Linked DNA regions of Mus musculus: all the other regions are reported to be linked to region 1. Evidence: microRNA targets listed by miRTarBase, many of them from high-throughput screens and not tested one by one. Region 1 holds a microRNA gene; each other region holds the end of a gene's coding sequence.
What was found. The annotated mature microRNA mmu-miR-546 reads AUGGUGGCACGGAGUC and lies in region 1 at 2,071-2,086, opposite strand. An mRNA with a match to its seed (bases 2 to 7 or 8) in the 3' UTR can be bound and repressed. Matches are read on the target gene's strand: a 7mer-m8 pairs with bases 2 to 8, a 7mer-A1 pairs with bases 2 to 7 and ends in A, and an 8mer does both.

Region 2: the mRNA of Zbtb44 is a reported target of mmu-miR-546. Seed matches in the 3' UTR shown: 7mer-A1 at 1,399-1,405 and 7mer-m8 at 2,441-2,447.
Region 3: miRTarBase lists Tmco3 as a target of mmu-miR-546. Seed matches in the 3' UTR shown: 7mer-m8 at 3,463-3,469.

The regions. Positions count from the first base shown.
Region 1 is chr10:126,995,482-127,000,556 of GRCm38, reverse strand. It overlaps Mir546 (microRNA 546), which reads right to left and starts at 2,117; the gene lies at 1,997-2,117. It overlaps Ctdsp2 (CTD (carboxy-terminal domain, RNA polymerase II, polypeptide A) small phosphatase 2), which reads right to left. Exons shown (of 8, transcript NM_001113470.1): 6 at 4,610-4,702; 7 at 4,346-4,531; 8 at 582-4,196. The coding sequence ends at 4,071. Mir26a-2 (microRNA 26a-2) reads right to left here and starts at 5,027; the gene lies at 4,944-5,027. It also overlaps a transcript of Avil not described here.
Region 2 is chr9:31,068,367-31,073,441 of GRCm38, forward strand. Zbtb44 (zinc finger and BTB domain containing 44) reads left to right here. Exons shown (of 6, transcript NM_001115130.1): 6 at 379-5,075. The coding sequence ends at 389. Among named protein-coding and RNA genes, the nearest start is that of Gm17508, 12 kb to the right of the region's middle.
Region 3 is chr8:13,320,501-13,325,575 of GRCm38, reverse strand. It overlaps Tmco3 (transmembrane and coiled-coil domains 3), which reads right to left. Exons shown (of 13, transcript NM_172282.2): 13 at 2,652-4,815. The coding sequence ends at 4,702. Among named protein-coding and RNA genes, the nearest start is that of Tfdp1, 16 kb to the left of the region's middle.

The DNA of each region.
Region 1 (5,075 bases):
TTTTAACTCCAGCTCCACACCCTGGTCTATTGATTTTTTTAAAAGTGCACTGTCCATCAATAATTCAGTGAGGGAGGATATGAATTTGCCATATTGTAGATATGAACGTATTATGCTGATGACAGGAGACTGGCTAGAGCTCCCCTACTGTGTGCCTGGACGTTCAGGGCTGAGAGATGATTCTGGGCAATTCTGTGGTGTCAGGAAAGCTTTTGTTGCTTGGAGTCTGTACAAGTCATCCTACTATGTGCCTGGAAACCATGCTGGGCTCTGAATCTCAAGGCCTGTTTGGCAGCATCAAGAGCACATGCAGGAGCCTCCAATTCCCCCAGGGCTTCAGTCTCTACCCCAGTCAATAGCACAGCAAGCAAACGCTTGCCAAGTACCTGGGGAGAGGGAGTTGGTTCCAACCCAGGCCCGAGAGGGGCTAATGCACTCCAACCTCTGTAACCTTGATCAGAATCCCAGCGTTTGCTCTGCCAGGTGCTATCATTTCACGATCAACGAGGTCATGCAGGAAGAACAGTGTCCACCGAGTGTCAGGTCAGTGGAAGGGAAGGAAAGCAAAAGCAGCTCCCAGTCCTGCACAGGTTTTTAAACCAGCCTTTATTAACAATTGTAATACAAATATTCCAAAAATATAAACAGACTCTTAATGGCATCCTACAGTTCAAGTTTTTGAATACAACAAATGTATCAAATCATGAAGCAAGGTGGCCAAGGATCCCATAGCCTGGTCACAGTGGGAAGCAGACCTCTCCCCTCCAAATGGCATCACGGGAATAGCCAGATCCGGGGTAAGGACAGGCATGGAGAATCACCAGCTTATGGTGCAGGGCAGTTCTGGGAGCTAACCCCGAACTAAAGGATGGGGCAGCTGGCCTGACCTGTGACCTCTTCTCCCCTGAACATGGACTTATCTGTTTTCTAGAAAGAGGGACTGGGGATGTAGCTTAGTTGGGAGTGTGTGCCTGACATGCACGAAGCCCTGGGTTGTCCCCAGCACCTCACAAGCCAGCAAGGTGATCACACCTGTAACCCCAGCACTCAGGGGGTGGAGGCAGGAGACCAGCGATCACCTGTAACCCCAGCACTCAGGAGGTGGAGGCAGGAGACCAGCGATCACCTGTAACCCCAGCACTCAGGAGGTGGAGGCAGGAGACCAGCTATCACCTGTAACCCCAGCACTCAGGGGGTGGAGGCAGGAGACCAGCTCAAGATCACTCTTGGCTAAACAGGAGTTCAAACCCGTTTTTAAAAAAGGAGTAGCCGTGGTTTGGAAATTCATCAAACCGTGTGTGTGTGTGTGTGTGTAGGGGAGAACTAGGACATTTTTAAAAAAGGAGTAGCCGTGGTTAAGTAGCCCAAAGGGGAAACAGCTCACCGTTTTCACTTAGCCAGGCCAACACACTGGATGCAGGACAGCACAAACAGGCCACACTGCCAAGAGGCCTCTGAACAGAGCAGGTCATGGACCTATAAGGGACCCATCTCCCAGGAATGGTTGCTGTGAGGGTCCCATGCTTTTAGTACAAAGCTTTTCTGAGCCACTGTTAACAGGGGGAGGGGGGTTATACAATTATACAAAAATCTTTGGGAGGGAGTGAGATAGGTCCCTGGTTGAACGAAGGCAAATTCACTCAACTTCTTTAATTAGGGACCCATGGGCCTTCGGTGTCCCCTCTACAATGTGCAGAGTGGAAACCCTTACCTGGCCCTTTATCAAACTGGTCCTGTGTCCAAAGCTCCCCCTATAAGAGGGACAGGAACGTCAGGCTTTTGATGCGAAGCCCAATCAGACACACACTGTGTCCCTGAAGAGGCACCTTAAAGAGCTGAACCCGGCAGGGGGCAGATTCCTAGCATGGCTTGGAGTGGATGCTGACACCTGGTCCGGTGGTCTACTGACTCCTGAAGACCAGTCTGCACTGGGGCAGGCGGGCTGGTGGCAGTGGAGCAAGGGCTTCAGGAGGCACTGGCTCCTCTCACTTGCCCTCCTCTCCTCCCCAGTATCACTTTGCTTCTAAAACATGGAACTAGCACAGGGATAGCAAGAGACAACATCTAGCTGACTCCGTGCCACCATGATAGATCCTGTTTAGTTTTGGGAAGAGAGGAGTTGATATGGCATCTTTGTGGCAGACTGCAGGTGGTAAGAGGACTCTGGTGGCAGTCAGGCCTAGAGAGCTGGGGTTTCATGGAGAAGTAACAGGGCTCCCATGAAGCCACACTGGGCTTTGGTCACATGGAGAACCAAGAAGCCAGAAAGGGACCTTAAAATTCAATCAACTCTGAGGCTCTTATTGCTTAGTCAAGACCAGCCCTCAGAGCTTTGTGAGAAGACCCCTCCTGCAGTATTGGGATGCCAGTGAGATCAGGGTCTGGACCTGAAGCCACAGTCAAGCTCCCATGTTCCTGGCTAGCACCTGCAGCCCTCAGCTCACCTTGGGAGGACCCTACAGACACCAGCAAATGAGGCTGGGGAAATGGCATGTGTTTGTCACAGAAGTGAAAGCCAAGGCTCCATAGCCTCGGGCCCAGGAAGAAGTCTGCAGAGTGCTGGAGGAATGCCAGCCAGTCTCCACTCACACCACCACACTCCTCCACCAGGCTTTCTCAAACCCCAGGCAGGACCTCGTGTGTGGAAACTAGAAAAATTTGAAAATATTGACTCCTGAGTGGGAGGTACCACACCTGAACCAACCCACAAACGCTGGCCGGCCTCCAGGGGAAGCAGAGATGGGGTAGGAACTCCCGCCCACCTCGGAGGGAGGCAGGGAGTGGGCGGGACTCACTTAAGGCAGTGAGGTGGAGGCCCCTCAGGGGCCCCTTGTGTTCCCAATGGTAGCTTTCCACTTTGGGGAAACTTCCACTCTGTGACTGACATTGAAAGCAACAGGGCTGAGAGCTCAGAGCTGCCCAGAGCACAGAGCTATGAGGACCTCACTCAGTCCTATAACGAGAAGCAGGAGGCATTTGGCAAATCAAGTAAGAGCAACACTTGGGACAACCAATCAATTAAGTACAACCGGGGAAAGTCCTTCTCCCAAGGCTCTGGAGAGGAAGAGCAGCAGCCGAGAAGGATAAAGGCGAGAGCAGACGAGAGCTGGCCAGGGCGGGACACCAGGAAGACACAGAGGGAGAGCCAAGCCCTCCCCAGCCTTTGGAGCTAATGTCCTTGCATCAGCTAGCACAGAACCCCTGAAGAGCACTTTTGGGATCTACACGCAAGGAGACAGACATCTTGCATTGAACATTTGCATTTTCTTTGTACCCCAGCGCTTCCCACACAAACCTCAGGCCCAGGACTGGAGCTCGGGCGAATATAAACCACTCCAAGTTTAGAAAGAGATTTTTAAGAGTTAAAAGAACAGAAATCAGCTATATGTCCTCCTCCAGGGCAGAGAGAAGACCTCCTTTCCCATGGGAGTAGGACTATGGCTTGGGAGTGAGAGGCTGGCCTGGCACTGGAGCCCGGGTACAGAGAAGTGCCCATGGCAGGCATTCTTGCTGGAGCCAGGTGTAGCCCATAGGACACAGAACCTGGTGGGTCTGCGAACATGCTCTCATATTCCCAAACATGTCTGCAGCTGCTGGCTAGGTTTCTGTGTTTTCTGAAAGATGTGTGTCTGGGCATCCAAAGCAGCCTCCGGCCTCTCCCTTCTCCTTGGCACAGGTCTTGATGCTGAGGGAAAGCCATGGTTTGGCGAGGGAGCCTACAATAGTTTTCATGGCTGTAAAGCTCAGTAGCTCACAGCATAGCAGGAAAGAAGACAAATGACTTGGGTTGAGTCCTTATCTTTCAGCTTCTCCCCCTACTGCACAACTGGGCACCCAGGACCATAGTTTACCGGACGGGCACATGCACGCACACACACCCACACAACCACCTGGGAACTGAGCACGGGGTGCAGAGAGCTCTGGGTCTTGGTCTGATTTCCTGCTCTGCGTGTGACCTGCTTTTGTCCCACACGCCCTGGCTACTTGCAGACCCCGTCAGTGAGGCTGACCACAAAGGCACAGTGTAGCAGAGTCCCCTGTTGGGATGGCCGTTTCTTGGAGCAGGAAGGCTAAGGGGCCCGCAGCTGCCCAAGGCTGGTGTAGACATCATCAGTTCCACTTAGCTCCTCGAAGACTGGAATCAGGTTCAGCAACTCTGTATCTGCCATGTCATCAAACCAGGACTGCACAGGCACCTGGGGCAGGAAAAAGTGACATTATCTGATATTTCCTTTCCTTTCCAGTGCCATTGGAGGCTGCTGGGCCACACAGGGGTTGTGGACTCCTCTGATAAAGCCCACGGGCCCAGCCTGCAGCCACCCCAGTCCCTGATGCGAGCACTCACTGCATTTTCTGGGTGGAAGATGTAAGATGCAGGGGAGTTGTCCAGGATGACAGTTTTCCTCAGGTCCCTTCCCAGGCGGCTGAGGTCCTTGACATAGCAGCCCTGGTGGAACACACAAGCCTCTCGGAACAGGCGGGCCCGGAACACCCCGCACCGGTCCAGGAGATCAGTCACAGGGTCAGCATACTGGAAAAGAAGGAGAAGCTTTAGCCTAGGCTGAGGGCTGGCTCTCCCCTGCCTTCTGCCCCTCCTGCAGTCAGGTACCTTGGCCAAGCTGGCAGTGAAGAGAACACATTCGAAGAGCTCCCCCATCCGTCTCAGGAACTCATCGACGTAAGGCCTCTTGAGCACATATACCTGGGAGACAGAGTGGATTGCTGTAGGAACCCCACAAGGCCAAGGACACAGCACCGGCTCTGCCTGTGCACTGACAGAAAAGCAAGCAGGCCTAGATACCCAGGTCGAGACACTGAGACCTCTGCCCCACCATGGACAGCTCTACCATGTTACCAGGCTTCTGCTGCCTCAACAGGCCCAACCCTAACCCGGCAGGAAGGAATGCACTCCCAGGAGCCATCTTCATTGAGGGCAGACCATGCGCTGCCTCCAGAAACAAGTAATCAAGAACAGGCCTCATGGACGGACACAGCCTATCCTGGATTACTTGAATCCAGCCGCAGCCTCCACAGTAGCCTTCTGTACGGGATTCCAGCAGGACGGCTTGTGTAGG
Region 2 (5,075 bases), not on the chromosome of region 1:
ACCTCTACAAAGAGGTATTACAAAAGAAATACAGAGCTAGGTCTATATAAACCTCTTACTCGGCTTAGTCACATGATGCTTGCTTTAGTGAAATGCCACTCACATTATATACAGACTCCTATATGTAGATCCAGAAAGGCCTTTGAAGTGTCCAGAGAATCACTGGAAGTGATCATTAATCTTTTTTATTGCCCATAGGGAGGTGGGATGCACATTGGTTCTACTGAATGGCTTCAGTTGATATTTGGGAAAGCTTATTTATATTAACTTCATTGAATAATTAGTGAAATGAAAAGCCCCAGACTTGTATTATAGATGATATCTCTTTATTATAGTTTGAAAATTAATTTTGTATTTTATCCTTTGCCTCTCATTTAGTGATTTCTTAGTACCGGACTACTTAAACCAGGAGCAAGAAGAGACCCTTGTTCAGTATGATCTTGGAGAACATACTTTTGAAAGCAACTCTTCTGTTCAAATGCCTGTGATTTCACAGGTCTCCTCAACCCAGAATTGTGAAAGCACTTTTCCCCTGGGCTCTCTTGGTGGGCTTACAGAGAAGGAGGAGGAACTGCATGAGCAGCCAAAGACCAGTGCTCCTGCTGAGGCGCCCAGGGATGACCCCCCTAAGGCAGAGCTGCCTGCTATAACTATTGAGTAATTCTGTGATTGGCCTGGGGTTTGGTTTTTTGGAAAGTGCCTGTGCTTGGTCTCATATGTTTAAATTTAATTTAATTTTTAAAGAAGGGTTCCCTTTGTAAACCCTAAAACTGGAGGGTTCTATGTTTTGTTTTGTTTTTTCATAGCTGAGAGATTGCTTCTGTATGTATACAATAAGGTAACATTGAAACAGAACATAAACTTTGAGACTTAAGGAAAAGCAGCTGACTTAGAACATGGCAGTTCTTCCTCCCATTGTTAAAAGTGGGCAGCAGCAGATACAAAAGAACTCAGGCTGTGGTTGACCTTCCTGAGAGAAGAGGGCTAATGAGAAGTTATTAAACAGTTTGACAAGGCCTAAGTAAATGTGTACTCCTAAGTGCAGGGTGTTATAAACCCTGTAGTTTTGGAAGTATTTGTGGTGGGTTTGTTTTTGTTTTTGTTTTTTTCAGATGAAGGTAAATAACTTCTGAAATCCAGTATATTCTTTTTTAAGCCATTTTGAATTTTCATAGTGAAAAATTAGTATCAGGCAGGTATTTCCTGTACCTTTATAGCACCACTCCAGAGGCTAAGAGGTGTGGTTGAGAAGAGTCAGGCTGCATGTGGAATGGCAGGGTGCAGAACGAGGTACGTATACCCAGCTTTGCAGAAACTCTCCTGAGACTTTCTCTTCCTGGTCATTGAATGCTGACACCTGGCTAACTAGGGCATTGCTCAGAGAAGTGTCCTCGTGTCCCACCAACAGCACTTTCATTTGCATATACTATTGTGCTGCCATATAAAGGAGAAATAGTGAAGATATTCTATATTTTATATATAGGTTTATGTATTGTTGAGGATGTCGATGCTGTGCTGTTTTGGACAAAATAAAAGAATTCTGTTTTGAGGCTACATTCTTAACCCAATTAAGATTGTTTACAAGGTCACATATGACAACAATATAATGTCCTTATTCCAAAATATTTTGAGGTATTGCCAAGTTTGTTAAAAGCTTTCACGAGATGTAAGCAATAATGTAAAAGATACGACGAGGTTGTGAGTGATCATCTGTGACTCAGACATGGAGGGAGGGATTGTTAAGACCAGAATCTTAAAAACTTTGCTACTCAGACGATAACATTTATATGATATTCTAGATTGGGATATACTTTTTTATCTTTTGCCATTAAAGCCTCTTTGATCTAAAATATTTATGAAGCCACGAGTAATGAACTTTTGTGTAATTTTTTATATAGAAAATAGCCCCAATGTTTATCGTTATGATAGCCCCTGATGGGGTTAGAAGATAAAAACAACATTTTGTTTGTTTGTTTGTTTGTTTGTTTGACTTTGGACACTCTCTTTTGTTTTGTGACAGGATCATAGGTAGTCCAGGTTGGTCCAGAACTCATCATCCTCTTGCCTCAGTTTCCCAACAACCTTTGCTACCATTATATATTATAGACACACATCACCACACCCAGATCAGACTATAGTCTTAGTCAAACACCTGATCTGACTTTTATCCCAATGCCAAACCTTACTTACTTTTTATATTATAGTAATTTGTTTCTTTAAAATTTATTAATTCTGCAATTTAATTTCTGGTTTTTTGTAGGTTTTTTGGTTTTGTTTTGTTTTTGGGTTCTTTTTTTTTTTTTTTTTTTTTTTTTTTTTCCAAGACAGGGTTTCTCTGTGTAGCCCTGGCTGTCCTGGAACTCACTTTGTAGACCAGGCTGGCCTCGAACTCAGAAATCCGCCTGCCTCTGCCTCCCAAATTCTGGGATTAAAGGCGTGCGCCACCACGCCCGGCTGAAATTTAATTTCTATCTCTGTTCTTTTTTCTTCTTGATACTGAGAATTGCACCCAGGACTTTGTATATGATGCGCACGTGCCCTGTCACTGGTCACACCCCCACCCTGAGTCCCAGTTGTTTTTTACCTGACTCATGGCTGATTGCTCCCAAGCATAGGTGGGTAGCTTTCAGAAAAACCAACTAGGAAAGTCAGTCATTTTTATTTTTTTATCATACATGATCTTTGAAAACTGTGCCTAGTAATAAAGAAATCCTAAAACTCACTAGAATCCTATTTTAGTATGGTAAATGTTCTTGGTTCTAAATTGGGTTGTTTTGTCTTGGTTTTTTTGTTTTTTGTTTTGTTTTGTTTTGTTGTTAAGAGCTAGAAAAAAGTAAAAGGAAGAAAGAAATGAGAATAAATCAGAGATGAATTGATTTGAAGAATTCTTTTTAGATTGTTTTGATTGAAAGTGTTTGAGTCTACTCTATCCTAAGAGTCGTGTGTTAGGACAGCCCTGGCAGCCTCCCTGTGAAGGACACACCTCCCTGTGGATTTTTATCCCTAGTGGCAAAGCTTGTAGCCAACCTTAGTGACAGATTTGAATATACTATGAATGCACAAATGGTTAGTTGCCTACTACCCAAACATTTTTAATAAACTTACCTAACCAGTGTTTAATATAAAATGATACAAAGGCTTTTTTCTGTTCCAATGAGACTCTACATTTTTAAGGATATTTTGTTTATGGGTCTGTTATAGGAAATACAACTGCAAGAGATAATTGTATATATAGTAATATTTAAAGTTTATTTAAAGTTGATTTAAGAGAGGAATGCCTAGATGTATACTTTTCACCAGAACATATGGAAAACATTGAAGAGATGAAAGCCAGTTACGATCCCGTCATAGAAATCACCAGGGTAACTAAACAGAGAATCATTCTTGTTTAGAATATTTAAAGGTAGCTATCTTTTGTAAGGCCAACAAGGGTACCTTTGTGATATTTAAAGGGCTTAAATTTTAGAATGCTAGATAAATTACTTTTTAAAAAACAAAGCATTTTATATAAGAAAAGCTTTGTTTTCAGTTTTTTTTTTTTTTTTCCAACTACCAAATAGATAGGATGTGCTTTAGAAGCAAAGCTCTTCCCGTGTTGTCAGGAGTCGTAGCTCCTCGTGTCAGTCTTTGCATTTCCAAACTCTAGCCTTCAGAGTGTAATGTCAGGAAATCACTAACTCAGAAACAGAAATTTGACAGTAACCTTTACTTTATGCGTTTAAATTTTTCAAGAAATGGATGTAGATAAATGTTAATATCCACTTCCCTTAATTGGCCATTTTAAACAATCCTAATTTTTATTTTCAGTTTAATTTCAAGTTTAACCACAGTTCATTATATTAATAGGTTTTATTTTGGGTTTTTGTGGAGTGTTTGTTTTTTTTTTAAGTTCACAGTTTTGCTAAGACAAAGTGTGCTAAGCTGTTTAGGTTTGACCGTTTGGAGTCCCAATAGATAAACAGGATCCGTGTTAAGATACATTCCCTTTGCTATAAAAAACAAACAAACAAACATGCTTGTGTTTGTTAAACTGTTTTACTAAGAGTGAAGTAGTCAGGGCCTCTGATTCGCTGAGTCACTGGTAACTCAGCTTCCTTCTAACTGCTGAGCCAGGCTCTCCTGTCTTATAACTCATCCCTGTTCCTTTGGAAGCTATGTTAAGTCTTTCACTCCTTTAAAAAACAAAACAAAAACCTCTTATTTTATTCTCTTAGTCTAATTACTAGAAGCCACTTTTGCAGAGCGCGTGTCCATTTTCAGATTAAGCTTTAGCCTGTTAGCTTTGGAGTCCCTGCAAGGTGCGTGACCATACAGTGCTATGCAGGTGGCTTCTCTACCAGGATCACAGAGAATGATTTCTTATGATGGCAAATGAATGCTCGGTCCTCAATTTTAACTGAAGAGATTTTGATTTGTAGATGTAATGAACAGGTGAATTGGAAACTTGCATTGTCCTGCATCACTCATCTGCCCCAAGGGCCTTCAAGCTCGGAAGTATACATCTTCGTGAAGGAGTGATTTTTGAGTTCTTAACTAGGGGTGGGGGAAGGACCTAGGAAAGCTCACATGGAGCAAACAGCCCCAAGGTAGGGGAGGAAGGTGAGTTTTCACTGCACTGCTAAGTGTTGCCATCAGATGTCTTTTTGTATTTTGATAGTAGAAACCAGAAGGCAATGGACAAAAGTGAGGGAGTGGAGAGATGGTATTGTTGTAAACACAGCCATGAGGAATATTTATAACTAAATACATGTTTTAAATGAGATCATCAAAGTTAAGATTTCTTATTTTGCTTATACTAGTATTTATCCCTCTTTCGTTTTTGACAGAATGTGGTGACATAGGATAGTTTTTATGTGAAAGTCTTCAACAAAACAAATTTACCAAAATAGCAATGGTTCAGATAAACAATGAAGTGGAATCGAGCCAGTCCTCAGGCTGGTTAAGAAGTAGGCTATAGATGTTTCACTCTGGATTATACATAAATTGAGATTTTTGCTGCAACCTAGAAACATGAATTATGTTGAACAGGGAATGATACTGTTACTACCGGGAGTTAGACTGTTATTAATGTATAC
Region 3 (5,075 bases), not on the chromosome of region 1:
GACGTGTTTGGACTGGCTTCTTCACTCGGTGTCATTTAAAGTCCCCTTGGGTATTTTCACAACTCAATCACTCTTTGTTTACTGCTGCGTGTTCCACGTTCTGGATGCACCCACAGACTCTCTGAAGAATTCTGGGTTGAGTTTTGGCAATAAGGAAAATCTGCCCCAAACCATCATGCACAGATTGTTATATGGACACAAATTTGCCAGCAGTTCCCGTGGACAAATGCGAGAGTGGGTACTTGCTGGATCTGATGGTAAAACTATGTCTGGTTTAATCAGAAACCCCAAACCTTCTTTGAAAGGGAGTTAATTGTTTGGACTCAGTCCAAATGATGGCTGGGACCAAGGAAACAGATGAGTACTGAGAGGAAGTAACTGCAGGATGGTACCTCAAAGTTAGTGTATCCTAATTAGCTAATATGGTATTTCAAGCCTGATAATTGGGTCAAATGCATTCCTGAAAAGGTGAAAAGTTCTGTTTGACACCTACAAAGGGCAGCATCGTCAAGGTCCTGTCTATGTGTTCTCATAGCTACAAACCATTGCAGGAAAACATCAAACAAAAACATGAAGATATTCTTATGCATTCACCCGGCACTCCTTTTGGTATCACGAGAGGCGTGAAGGGAAGAAGGAACTGGGAACTAGTCTTAGGTGAACTCCCAGACAACGTGTGCCTCTGCGTCATAGGGTTGGAGGGTAGCGACCCAAAGGTATCTGTTTGGAAATCTTTGTCATCCAACCCTGAAATTTAGCTCCCACGGTGCAGTTTTTGGGTTTAACAGACCAGTTACTTGGCTGAAATGCACAAGAAAGGTGAGAACTGCTGGTCCTGCAGGACCATACCAAGGCTGCTTCTCCATGACGCTAGCAAGTACCAGCTGAGATAGCTCAGTGCTGCGGGGTCAGAGCTGGCTCGGATGCCTGCCAGTCACAGAAGCCCACCCCTTCCAGGCAGCCTCCACCTACAGTCAGTTCACCATGGTCTGGACAAGTTTCCATCTAGGTCTTCAACCTCCTAAGTCTGCAGTGTGCCCTGGCTGCTCTTCCAGAGGACCTGGGTTCAATTTCCAGTATTCACATGGCAGCTCATGGCTATTTATAACTCCAATCCCAGGGTACCTGGCACTCTCACACAGATATGCAGGCAAAATACCAATGCACATAAAAAATCATTACAAAATATTATTTGGGCAGGGTGACCTTTAATCCCAGCACTCGGGAGGCAGAGGCAGGCAGATTTCTGAGTTCGAGGCCAGCCTGGTCTACAGAGTGAGTTCCAGGACAGCCAGGGCTACACAGAGAAACCCTTTCCCGAAAAAAAGAAAGAAAGAAAGAAAGAAAGAAAGAAAGAAAGAAAGAAACCAACCTCTGGAAGGTGCCTATAATCTACCTTTCAAGAATAAACTTTTTGGGGAAAAAGAATTCCCAATAAAAGTTCAACACCAGGGCTGGTGAGATGGTTCAGTGGTTAAGAGCACTGACTGCTCTTCTGGAGGTCATGAGTTCAAATCCCAGCAACCACATGATGGCTCACAAGCATCCATAATGAGAAACAAATAATAATAATAATAAAACCTATGGGCTGGAGCAAGCTGGGGCCGGAGCAAGAGGGAGAAAAGAAGGTGGGGAAAATTTTCAATTCCATAAGGAGAGGTAAATTTAATAATTTGTGCCTATTGGCCTGCTTCTCTGTGACATCATCACACCATAAATCCCCTTCAATGAATGGTCTAGGTCTCCTCCACTTCCTCCTGTGTAGAGCAGTATCCGTACTACTGTCCTTACAACAGGGACTGGCCCAGTCCAGCTAGGTAGGAGACAACCCTGGACACTGTGTCTTGTGTTTATTTCACCATCTTCCCCTCCAGGCAAGAGTGCCCCTGTTCTGGACACTGCCTCCTCTCTACCTGGAAGGGCTAGCTGCAGCTCCATCTATCATCCCTGCCCCTGCAGGAACATGAAGCCCTTTGTGAGGGGTCTTGTTGTCATCATCAGGCCCCGGGGACATGATAGGAATATGACTCCAGTCATCTTCCTTCCCTACAGACTGGGAATTCTGAAGTCAGCTCCAACCAGGTCTTTCTGCACACATCTCTCTTCCCCTTCATCTTAATGGTGTCTTACAGGTACTCCAAGAGCCTTGGCTTTTCTAGAACCAACTTCAGGAAGGTTAGTGAGCCTGTGTGCCAATTCTATTCCCTCAGCTACTCCAGACCTGTCCAAGTGTGTGACAGGAAGAGATCCCTGTCATGACCAGTGTGCAGCGTGGTGAAAGCCAGGCATCCTTCCTAGTCCTACTGCCGTATCTTCTGGGAGCACAGCATCTTGGATGCATATCCCTCCACACCTGGAGCTGCATCTGACCTCAGCAAAGCCTCCATGAGTGTACTGTGCTCTGAAGCATCGGTACCTGTAGCTGATGGTTAAGCTCTCAGAAGGCAGCAAAACTGACATCCTTGAGTTCTCTGTCCAGGATTCCTCCTGACACTGTCTCCAAGCAATCTTTGCCTTCTTCAGGAGTCACAAAACCTTGTAGCCACTTCTGGCCAGCAGCTGTGCCAGGATATCTTGCTCCTTCAGCATATCTCAAACACGTGGGAAGAGCGATAGAACCAGCCATCTGACACCACTCAGGAAAGCAACATCATTTTCTAAAAGACAATGCTTCTATTGTTCACCACTTCAAGAAGACACAGTATTTCAATTGACTTCAGTGGCTTAATTTACATTACTGCAATCTATATATGCACACATAAAATACATAATCACACCTTATACTCTGTCCCTCTACCTCAGCATTTATGGTCAATTTGTCCAGCTCTGAAAACCAGTATATACAGAGAAATTGTTTAGAGTAACAGTGATGTTGTTCACAGTATACACATATATAATTGTAACTGTCAACTAAAATAGAAAGTGTATGCAACTGAAAAATAAAACACCTATTCCGTGAATGTTTCCAGACCCCAGAGTTCAGGTGCTACAAGTTTAATCCCCAATACAACAGTGTTGGAAGGGTGGGCTCAGAAGAGATTCAATCAGAGAGAACTTGCCCTCATGGGTGGGTTAATTACATTAATTATAAACAAGCCCCTGGAACTGGGCTGTCTGCCCTCCTCACTACTTGAAATCCTCTATGCAGCATGCAGCCCCAGAGCAGAAGGACAGAGCCTTCCCCCTTTTGACCTTGTGCTTCTCAGCATCTAAAACTAAGAGTAAATTCCAGTTCCCAACAGATTATCCAGCTACAGCACCATGGAGAGACTGACCACGCCCCTCAGGAGAGCCCTGTCAAGGGTCAGGTCTTCATTTCTAGGATACCTGATAATTAAAACATCTTTAAAATGCATTCATTTGGTCTTTAATAACTATATGATGGGGCTGGAGAGATGGCTCAGTGGTTAAGAGCATTGACTGCTCTTCTGAAGGTCCTGAGTTCAAATCCCAGCAACCACATGGTGGCTCACAACCACTCATAATGAGATCTGACACCCTCTTCTGGTGTGTCTTAAGACAGCTACAGTGTACTTACATATAACAATAAATAAATCTTTTTTTAAAAAAAGAACTATATGATGACATATGAGTGGTCCTTATTAAAAAAAAAAACCACTAGCTGGGGCTGGAGAGACAGTTGAGGGCAGTTAAGGGCACTCATTGCTCTGGGAAAGGACCCAGGTTTGGTTCCCAGCACTCACACAGCATCTCACAGTCACCCATTACTCTAGGTCCAGTGCATCCAGCCCCCTTCTCACTTCTTCAGACACCAGGAGCACAGGTGATGCTCATACAGACATGTAAGTAAATCTAAAATTAAAAAACATTGGCAAGATTTTGCCAATGATTAGTTCAACACAAAAATCTAAGATAAAATGAGATTTTTGGAGGCTGGAAAGATGGCTCATGGGTTAGGAGACTGGCTGCTCTTCCATAGCCCCTAGGTTCAGCTCCTAGCACCCACATGGCTGCTAACTGTAACTCCAGTCCCTGGGGATCTGGCACCCTCATATACACACATACATGTAGGCAAAGAACCACAGAAAAATAAGTAAATCTTTTTTAAAAAAAAATGAGATTCTCAGTAAATTTCAAATAATTATACCCTGATCATAAATGGTCTTTACTTAAGAATGCATATTCTTGTGATTCAAAATCAAATTAAAACTAATAAAAATGAACATGAAAATGTTTTATTTAAAACAGTGACAAGAGGCAAGGGGACACTGAGGTTTTAAAGATCAAAAGTAAGTTTCCAAGCTCAGAAATAAAATTAAAATCGCATATTGCTATTATGTTTAATAACAAATATTTGACCAACTACTATAATTGTACAATAAATATAATGGCTTTCTAATTTTTCTTCTTTACCAAAAAATCATAAGCTGGTAAATTAACAAATGGAAGTTAATAATTTTCATTAAAAAAGGCACATCCAGGCAAAATAGTTCAGGTGATTGTAAAATGCAGTGTTAAAACTCTGTACATAATCAACTGACTGCAAATAAATTACTCTGGAAAATTCTTAAACATGACAGGAGAGTCTTTGAAATAGCAAGCAAGCATGAGGGCGCTGCCTCTTGGCCCGTGTTACTCTGTCTCTGCTGGGAAGCCAGCAGAGAGGCGCAGCAGCAGACCGTCTCGGGACTGGAACCCCCGAAGGATCCTTGCCCCACAGCCTGTCGTCCTCGGGTGTTGTCAGAGACTTGAGCGCCTCTCTGGTCTCGGCACACACTTGGTAATGGCTGCTTTCCACAGCACTGGGGCGAGTAAGAGGCTGAGTGTGGTCACACTTAGGATAAGGAGGTACACCTGCAACGGGCAAATGGGCACAGTCACAAGAGTTCGGAAGGTAAAGCGCACAGCCTGCATTTTCAGAGGACACCTCGAGTAGCGCATGTGGACAGTGTGACCCCACTGAGTGTTGGGAGCTACACTGTCAACCAGAAGCGTATCCATCTTTAAAGAGGGGGAAATAGTGCCACAGGAGAGAGGACATTTGCAGTGGGAAGAACTGGGATTCGACCTGACGGAAAGTTGTGGTAGTTCTGGTAAGTTCCAGGGTAGCAGCC